Linked DNA regions of Lonchura striata. The protein of the gene in region 1 purifies or fractionates together with the protein of each later gene. This does not show direct contact. Links are inferred from orthologs where the notes say so. Each region holds a gene or a part of one and is shown on either strand. Other genes may lie near its edges.

Region 1 (4,743 bases):
CCATAAATAGATTTATGCTGGTGTGCGCAGGAAGGAGAAATAAAGATCTGAAACAGAGCTGCAGAGTTCTCCATGCTCACATTGTTGTACCCTTGCAGCCTTCTCAGAACCTCCCAGCACTAGCTTCTCATCCCAGCTAATGCATGTAATGCTTTTATATTCTTCTCATTCTTCCCACTTTCCAGGGAGACCTAGCCATGATTTTTTCCCCTCTTAAATGTGTCCTATTCAAGTACTCTATTTCAATGTACACTTGCTTTTGTTTAAGATAGATATAATTTAAAACTCACTTGGAAAGATGTGTGGGAAGTCTTCCCTTAGCTGCATTCAGCCAATGCAGCTCTGTATAGAATACCATAGCATAACGAGTAAGCTTGATATTTGGGATAGAGAGAATTACCCTGTAGTGTTTATCCTCTAGAAACCACTGACATGGATATTATAGTATTTTTTGTTGTATAACTTTAAAAAATTACTCCCAGCTTCACAGGAAAAGTTCAAACTCCAGTTTCCAGGAATATTTATTTTGGTTTATAACTCTAAGCAGAAAAATCTTATTTTTATTACACTAACATCTAGAGCTCCAGTAGAGCTGTGTAGGCCATTTTGTTCTGTTATCTAAAACTAGGGAGAGAAATGATCTTCTATCAAAGAAAATAACCTATGGATTTGTCTACATTAAATGCTCTAATAAATATATTAAAGTAATTGCAACAAATCTTTGTAACTGGAATCTCTGGACGAAACCCCACTCGGCGAGCTGTCTGCACTTGTGGAACAGGTCACTGCTGCTAGGTGATGTTTCCTGACTACGTTCATGTTTGTTAGCTGCGTATGTGAACGCACCCTGGCTCCAACAGTCGGGCAGCAGGAGCGAGTGCTCATTCAAGGGGCTCAGCAGAGGTTGTAACCTCGAGCAGGGCTGTGAAGAGGGACAGGGAGCAAGCACTGGTGAGGCTGCACCTCAAGTACTGTGTGAGGTGCTGGAGTATGATCAGAGAAGGGCAGAAAGCTTGTGAAAGGTCTAGAAACCATGTCTGATGAGGATGGGCTCAGGGAGCTGGGGCTGTTCTGCCTGGAGGCGGCTCAGCGGGAACCTCATGGCTCCCTACAGGAGCCAGGTGGGATCTGTCTCTTCTGCTATGCCTGCAGCGAGACGGCCAAAGGAAATCGACTGAAGCTGAGACAAGGAAGATTCGAATTAGATGTTTAAAAAAATCTTTCCGTGTTAGTGTGCTCAGGAACTGGAATAAGCTGCCCAGGAGGGTGGTGGAACTACCATCCCCAGAGGTGTTCAAGAGGTGCTCGGCTCTGGCGCTGAGCGATGTGACACAGTGGTTACAGTGGCAGTGCTGGGTTGGGCGGCTGCGCTGGAGGATCTGAAGGGCCATTTCCAGCCCGGGTGCCGCTGTGGCTCAGGGATCCCCTGACGGGCGCTGTCCCGGCCCGCCCTCAGCCGCGGGGCGGGGCCGTCGGGCTCGCGCCCAGGAGAGGCTTTGGCCAACGGGCCCGCGCGCCAGCGCCTCGCGCGGTCCCGGCGCTTCCTTCCGGCCGCCATTTTGTCGGCCGTGCCTCGCCGTGCCGCCGCTCGGGGAGGGAGCGCAGAGCACCCGCCCGCCGCACCCGGACCGACCGCCCGCCAGCCACACCGACCGCCATCGCCATGTCCAAGCGCCACCGCCTCGATCTGGGCGACGATTACAGCTCCAGCAAGAAACGCACCACCGACGGGTGAGGGGTGGCGCGGGCGGCGCGGCCTGCGGCGGGGCGGGTGGGGGGGATCGCGGCGGCTCCCGCGCCATCCGCGCCCCATCCCCGGCTCCGGCCGCCCCTCCGGGGCTGCAGCTCCCCGGGACGCGGGGCGGCCGCCTTGCGAGGCAGGGAGAGGCCGCAGCGACGGCGCCTCGGCCGAGCAGGCCCCGAAGTCTGGCGGCTCCCCGAGCGCGGGGCCTGGCTCGGAACGGCCGCCCCGCCGGGCGGGCCCTTCGGGGGGCGGATGGCGGCGGCGGCGGCGACAGCGGCGGCGGGGCCTCGCGCGGCGGCGCCGGCAGGGGGAGGGGAGGGAGGGGAGGGAGGCGCCGGCCCGGCCGCCGGGGCAGGGGGCTGGGCTGGGCGCCCGCTGCGGGGCCCGCGCCCCCGCGCACGCTTTGTTTGCAGCTCTTCGCCTTCGTACTTATATTCGCCTTTTCCACTCCTTGTCCTCCTTCCTTTGTGTTTGTTTACTTATTCTCTGGCTTGAAAGGTCTGGCGAGCGTGGGCCTAGAGGTGAGCACGAGGGTTGTGCAGCCCGTGTTATTAGTGCCTACTCTGGTGGGAGCCTTGTTCCTTTGTTAACGTCTTTTCACCCAGTCACCCTCGGTGATGTGCTTGCCCTGAAGTAAGAATCGATGGTGAGGTGGGTTTTGAGTTAGGGGGCAAGGAATTGTTTATTTTTCTCTTAGTTTTGCGGGGTTGAAGTTTTAGGGCTGTACTCGAGCATATTTTTGTTGAGGTTAATGTAATTGCAGGAACACAGACAATGCACTGGTGCTGTTCTTAAATTCAGCGTTGATTTAGAGCTTTCTTTACACATTATCTTTTCCTCTCTAGTTGGGCAGGAGGGGGAGGAAGGGCAGTCAGCTCTTGAAAGTAAATTTCTGAAGTTTTAAGGAGTACAAAAAAATGCAGTGTTTATCTAGTCTGGCCTTCTTTATGGAGCACAGCAAGCTTCCGTGAATTAAACACTTGTTTAAGTCCATCAGCGTTGTTTTGGACTAGTTATGTAAGAAAAAAAAATTTCAGTTTTCACAGGTTAAATAAGTCGAATGTAGCAGTTAATAGTCACTGACAAACAGTCTTTGCAAAACTTGCCTTTTTTAAGGTAAGCTTGTACAGCTTCAGTTTTTAGCCCCTAGAGTTTGATTCATTTTTCTCAGCTAAACAAAATAAGTCTTTGTTATTCTACTTTTACTTTCTGTCTGTAGGATCATCATAATCACGTTTTATAAAATATATTGAGCTATTTGTGTTAGTTAATGCATTTTTGTAGGATTTCCCAGAGTTTGAAATAGTTCCTCTGAGTGTACAGAAATGTACATGTACAGTTTTTCTGTGGTACAACTGTTACAGCTGGCTGTAGCGATAATCATGGGTCAATATTTCCTTGTTTGTATGTTGGTGGATTTTGTAGTTTTGGTGTGGCCTTGTTTGTCATTGTTTTTACTTATCATGAATGCTATTCTGTGCTCTTGGTGCTACCATTTTGTATGTACTGCAGTGAGTTCCCACCAGTGTTAAACTAGAAGACATTGACCTTTATGGCACCTAAAAACTGTAGAAATGTTGGTCTTGTGCCCCTTCTTTGTCCTGCCCTCTGCAGGTAAAAGCATGAAATGGTATAGGACTGAGAAAAACTCACTATAAGCATAATTACTGAACATGCCATGATTATTTCTTAGATGACTTGCAATCTTAATTCACGTAGGATGAGTCATACTAATGTTACATGGCTGGTTTATTTTAGAGTAGTTCGGTTTTGCAGCTTATGCAAGGCCGTAAGGAGGATGTGTGGAGCCTTGTTAAAAGCCTGTGTGTACCTGTCTTCCTCTGTGCCGAGGTTGCCTTTCCGCAGTGTAGGTGGTTCTGGAGCTGGATTAAGCTGGATGAGCTCCTTGCGTGATTACCACTTCGCATTCAGAACAATAGTGTCTTGCATCCTAACTGGACTACCTGACAAATATGAAAGTTACTTCAAGTGAACCTGTATTTTTTAGTTCCTCTTTAATGGAGGCCTATGTTAGTATGGGTTGCTGCACATTGGCAGCAGTGCCACATGGGCTCTGCTTGGCCGACATGTTTGTAACTGGTGCAACCTTAAACATCTGCATGACATCTGTTTTCTTCCAGAATTGAAGTATTGTCTGTGAAGTAAAAAACATTTTGAAAAATAAAAGTTGTATGGAAGACTTGGTTACAGCATTTCTGTGAATTACATACATACTATTTTAAAATATGCTAATTTATTTTTAAATATATTTGAGTTGTGTAACATCAGAGTGATCTAATGGGATGTATCATTCAGACTAATTGTATTTGGTTGATTTCTGTATAGAACAGAAATTCCTTTAGCTTATTGCCTTTTTTGCATCAAATATTGCTGTTTAATAATGGGGAGGAATTATGATTTCTTAGACTGGTTTAAGCCTTCACTGTGATGATCAGTGGTTTACCTTGAGTCCTTTGTTTCCCTTTTTATTTTTATATGATTTCTAATCAAAAAAAGCATGCTTATTTAGTGGTTGCTATAGTGCTTATTTTGTGTTCATATATGTTATATGTGTGTGAATGTAAGGAAGTGAAAGCAAATAGCAGACCAGACTTTTTCACTTAAAAGCAGAGCAAAAAATCCCAGCCCCCTTCTGATCATGAAGGCTGTTACGCGTTTCAGGTGCAAGACAAATGTGATTAAATCATTACTTTAGTGTAATTTTTTGTGTTTGAGTTCTGTTTTCTCTGAGCAATAATGAAAAAGCAGCTAAAATGTAATAGTTTATAAGTAAAGAACTGTCAAGCCATATTGTTAGAAAGTTAAGGAAATTAATATGGCGGCATAACTGTCATTCCTCCTTTTCCTTGTTGACCAAGGGAGTGTGTGTCTGCTGTGTCTGCTAAGCTTCAGTAATAATGGGAAACTGGTAAATAGTTTCAGGCACAGTAAGTGCTGCTGTATAATTTATAAGTGTTAGAGAGTAAGTTTGTATGCAT
Region 2 (4,743 bases), on another chromosome or scaffold:
ACAAATTCTCTAACAAAAACCTCTCAGCTTCAAAAAAAAAGAAAATCCCTGGCTCCAAATTGAAATCTGGAGATTTTCAAGGACCTTAATTACTCCAGGAGGCTTCTAACATACACTGTATTTGAACAAGGGGATTGCCTCCACAATCAGATATAGGAGTTACAAAAAGTAAGAGACAATCTGGAATCAGAGCCAGAAGAAGCATCTCCTCATCTCATCCCAGTTTCAGTGAATGATTCTACAAGCAGTAATCTTGCCATTAGTTGCTGCACTTAGAACTTTTATAATTTAATAAAGATACTTTAATTTCAGTTTCATAATTTTATTGAATGCACACCAGGCAAAGCCCTTACTGTCACAAAGCCCTTACTGTCCCTTTGAGGTAGAAGATCAAACAATCCCTAAAAGGACAACTGTGCTGTCAGAAGTGGGTGAGTGTTGATTATGACAAATGTGAAATAATTAAACTTATTGCAATTAACCCCCTACACACACATTTAATTAAACTTGTCACCACGTCCAGATGACACAGAGCTATTACATGGCTCAGGGATGAGCTCCATGAGGCTGCACAGGAATTCCTAGGACTGGCTTTACTGAGCTTACTGGTGCCTAAAATGTGCTGGTGACACCAAAGAGCCCAAACTGTTCCTCCACGGGTCACCTCTTGGCTTATCAACCTCACCTTGACCTGGGACAGCTCCTTCTGAGGGGCTGCAAGCTGCTTGCTGATCCTGCCCTTGGCTTTCAGCTCTTCCACTGTCTTGTAGCTGTACTTGGGCTTTTTCTTGCCTCCATTTGGGTCCTTCCGCCACTGGCTGAGCTCCTTCTGAAATTCCTGGACAAAAACAACAGAGTTGTGGTAGCTGCTCTTTGTCACACCCCAATTCTGCCTCTTTTCACAGGAAAATAACCATCAGATCCATGAGGAATATGTATAGGAAATAACTGGGAAGTGGAGAAGCTCATGTAAAACCAGCTTGGATGCTGTGGGCCAGTCACCCACCATGTGGATTAAATGAAGACAAAGCCTATTTATGTAGGGGACTCTTCAAAGGAGGGATTCTAGCAAAACTAAAGAAATAGAGTGAGACAGAAACAACAAAGAACATTACAGCAACAAGGAAGATCAGCCTGAACAAAATCGACATGCTGTGTTTGGCTTGTCTAAAATGAGCCCAGTTTTCTCTGACACACAGAAATCAAGAAAACTGAATTCTGTACATACAGCATAGCAGGGAAACAGCAAGAGCCCCAGGAATACCTCCTCAGTTTCCTCTTCTGAGTCCACCACAGGGAAGTCCTGCAAGGACTGTGGGGTCCTCTCGGAGCCGTAAGCACCCACAGCACCTTTGCCTTTCCTCTGCTTGGCCTCGATGGGATTGATGATTCCTGGCAGGATGGGAATGGGGTCAGCAGGAGCAGTTTGTGTGCTGGGAGAACAGCCAGGCTTTCCCTATGAGTTACCAGATCAGCACCAACACCCTCCCTGGCACTGCCTCCAGCACCGTGGTACTTCCAACATCACCAATTCCCTATAAAATCACTTCATCCCAGCACACACCAAACTGCCAAAGCACAGCCTTACTCCCAACCACATTTCACTGCCTTTTTATTCTGCCACATTAAAACAGCATCTCCTTCCCTGTGGGATGACCACCTTTGGAATTTACTGCCTTTTTTCTTGCTCCTTTTCTCTTGTACAATACCCAGAGGAGCAAACGAGCACAGGTTAGTTTGAACACCCCTGAATCTCACCACAAGGCCCAGATCACTGGCAGGAAAACAAGAAGGAAGTTTAAGCCAGATGGCAGCTCTTTAAGGAATCCAACCTCTCCCCAGAACCCCCAGTTAATAATAATAAACCACCAAACACATTGACAATACCTTGAGCATTCTTCCCCAGACCCCTGCCAGGGACATATCCCATCTTCTGGAGGAGCTTCTGCCCAATTCCTTTAGTGTGTCTCTCCCAGCTGCCAAAATCCACGAAGGACTTGGAGCCCCCTACGAAGCCTTTCTGGCTGGGCTTGAAATTTCCACCCTGTCAAAAACAAACACGTAAAAACCTGCAGCCCTGGGGCTTCAAATAACCAAAATGTGCAAAACTCCCCTCAGAAGGTTCTTCCTCCCCATGCTGGAACCATGCTTGTGCATCCGTGAAGCACCACTGGAGATTCCTGAAATTCCTCAGATGGGAAAGGAAAACCCTGAAAAAACTCTGGCTGACAACCTGACAGTTCTCAGGTTCCACCACCAGATTTAGCTGAAGCTGATTCCTGATTCTTTCTGGTTTTAACTGAAGAGTTTGAGTTTTACTCTATAACATGCCTGGATTTGTTAATTCTGTGAAAGTAGAAAAATAAAGTGTCTGAAAGACAGGAAATCACAGGAATTCTCTTCTTTAAACCTCCATGGACCAAAACGAATATTGAAAAAAATGAGAGGACTGATCCCCAAGGACACACAGTTATACCAATGTACAGTTGTACCAATGATTTATTATCCTGATTTTTATCAATGTATTTGTATCAATGATACAAAATCCCAAGCAAACACTTCCCTGACACATTTGGGTCTCTGGCTTAATTATTCCTCCCTTTTTTTAGTGCTCTATTACATCTCGCTGCCCTCGACCACAGCCTGAGTTTCACAAACCTAAAACAGAGAACAGCAAATTTCCTGGAGAACTCACTGTTTTCAACTTCTTGGGCACAAACTCCTTGGGAATCTCCTCCTGCTTCACAGGTTTCTCATCCTCATCCGAGTCCTCATCCGAGAGCTCCTCGGCCGCCCCCTTCCTCAGCCCAGCGCTCACAAAGCTCACGGGGGCTGAGTAATCCCTGGAGCTGCCAAACAAGAGGGAATTCTGCTCATTCCTGCAGGAGGCTGGGAGCTGCTGTGCCTCACACCTCCCAAAAATGGGATATTAAAGGCTGCCGAGCTGCTTAACCCTGCTTTGCCAGGCAATCCCCATCCTCCTCTGCGTGCTGCAGGGAGAGCACAGGGAAAATCCCTACAGGTGAGAGGGGCAGCCCAGCCGGCGATGTCCACAGCTGGGAAAGACGCAGGGAATGGGGGGAAAAGCTCCAGGGAACGGGCGGGGGGAAGCTCCAGGGAATGGGGGGGGAGCTCCAGGGAATGGGGGGGAAGCTCCAGGGAACGGGGAGGGAGTTCCAGGGAACAGGGAGGGAGCTCCAGGGAATGGGGGGGGGAGCTCCAGGGAACGGGGAGGGAGTTCCAGGGAATGCGGGAGAAGCTCCAGGGAATGGGGGAGGAAGCTCCAGGGAACGGGGCAGCTCCTGGGGTCCCTGAGCGGCCCGGGGGTCGCAGCCCGGCCGCACCGCTTCCCGCCGAAGCTGGGCCGCTCCTCGTCCGAGTCTCGCTCGGCCCACACGCCGTAGGTCGCCTCCTCCTTGGTCTGGCGGTGTCGCTGCCGGTGCGGGTTGAATTCGTTCTGCAGGTCCCAGTCCGACACCTCGAAGCTCTCCATCTCCACGCCATCGTCTCCGTCCGTGCCGTACAGGTGCGACATCGACATCGCGGCACCGCCGGGATGTCCCCGGCCCGCTCAGGGATCCCCGGCCCCTCAGGAACTCCTGACCCGGGACCCCGGCCCCCTCATGGAGCCCGGCCCCGGCCGCGCCGCCACACCGGATGCGCCGCCTTCACTTCCGGTCGCCGGCACGCGCGCGAGCCCCGCCCCCAAACCATCGAGTCGGCGCGGCCGCGCAGGTGGCACCGCCTTGTGGGGAGTAGAGGGGGAGGAGCCCGCGCGATTAATAATTAAAATATTAAATATCAAATCAACGCTTTAATGGTGTTCGACACCAGGGGTGGGGTGGGGGGCATATATTAACTCTGCAATAGCCTCTGCAGGGTCAGGGAGGCGGTGGGGGGGGAGGGCACACGCACCACAAAGGCTCTGCAGGGCCAGGGGGGCTGTTCCTGACCCTGGGAATTGGAAACAGTAGGACCAGGGTGGCTCTTCCCGATCCCAGGAATACGGAACAGCAGGGATGGGAGGGCTGTTCCTCCCACACCGGGAACAGGATCACGAGACACACACACACGCCATGTACAGAATCCTCCAGGCACGGCACGGGAATCTCCTCCCGTCCCCCCGGCTTTCCACAGCTGCATTCCCCACGGAGCGCTGCGACCGGCCGGGGACGTTCCCGCCGTGGAGCACGTTTGGCCTTTGCAAATAAATGCAAATACATTCCTGGAGCGCAGTCATTTGGCAACAGTAGGAGCAAGCAATATGCTTGGAGAACAGATTTCCACGGGCCCACTGCACGCTCTTCCTTCTCGGGCAACAACAGGCTGTTGGCAGCGTTCTGGAAGAGACAAAACACAGAACCTCAGGAGCAGGACTTCTTCAGGAGCAGGATCCCCTCAGAGCCAGGATCCCCTCAGGAGGAGGATCCCCTCAGGAGCAGGATCCTGTGAGGGCCAGGATTCCCGCAGGAGCAGGATCCTGTGAGGGCCAGGATTCCCTCAGGAGCAGGATTCCCTCAGGAGCAGGATCCTGTGAGGGCCAGGATTCCCTCAGGGCCAGGATCCCCTTGGGAGAAGGATTCTCTCAGGAGCAGGATTCCCTCAGGGCCAGGATCCCCTAAGGAACAGGATCCCTTCAGAAGCAGGATCTTCTCAGGGACAGGATTCCCTAAGGAGCCCCTAAGTAGCAAAATCTCCTCATGGGCAGGATTCCCTCAGGGTCAGGATCCCCTCAGGAGCAGG

What was found. Proteins that work in one complex are often made in the same cells at the same time.
Region 2: the proteins of DHX15 (region 1) and TFIP11 purify together in Homo sapiens (co-immunoprecipitation; 4 studies listed by BioGRID and IntAct, with this or other methods). This does not show direct contact. The link is inferred for Lonchura striata from reciprocal best matches to the Homo sapiens genes DHX15 and TFIP11.

The regions. Positions count from the first base shown.
Region 1 is NC_134606.1:18,206,710-18,211,452, reverse strand, and holds the start of DHX15 (ATP-dependent RNA helicase DHX15), read left to right. Parts: upstream 1-1,498; 5' UTR 1,499-1,663; coding exon 1,664-1,731; intron 1,732-4,743.
Region 2 is NC_134620.1:10,626,170-10,630,912, reverse strand, and holds the start of TFIP11 (tuftelin-interacting protein 11), read right to left. Parts: upstream 3,667-4,743; 5' UTR 3,542-3,666; coding exon 3,345-3,541; intron 2,850-3,344; coding exon 2,696-2,849; intron 2,045-2,695; coding exon 1,888-2,044; intron 1,393-1,887; coding exon 1,265-1,392; intron 839-1,264; coding exon 686-838; intron 1-685. UniProt on the Homo sapiens protein: Involved in pre-mRNA splicing, specifically in spliceosome disassembly during late-stage splicing events. Intron turnover seems to proceed through reactions in two lariat-intron associated complexes termed Intron Large (IL) and Intron Small (IS).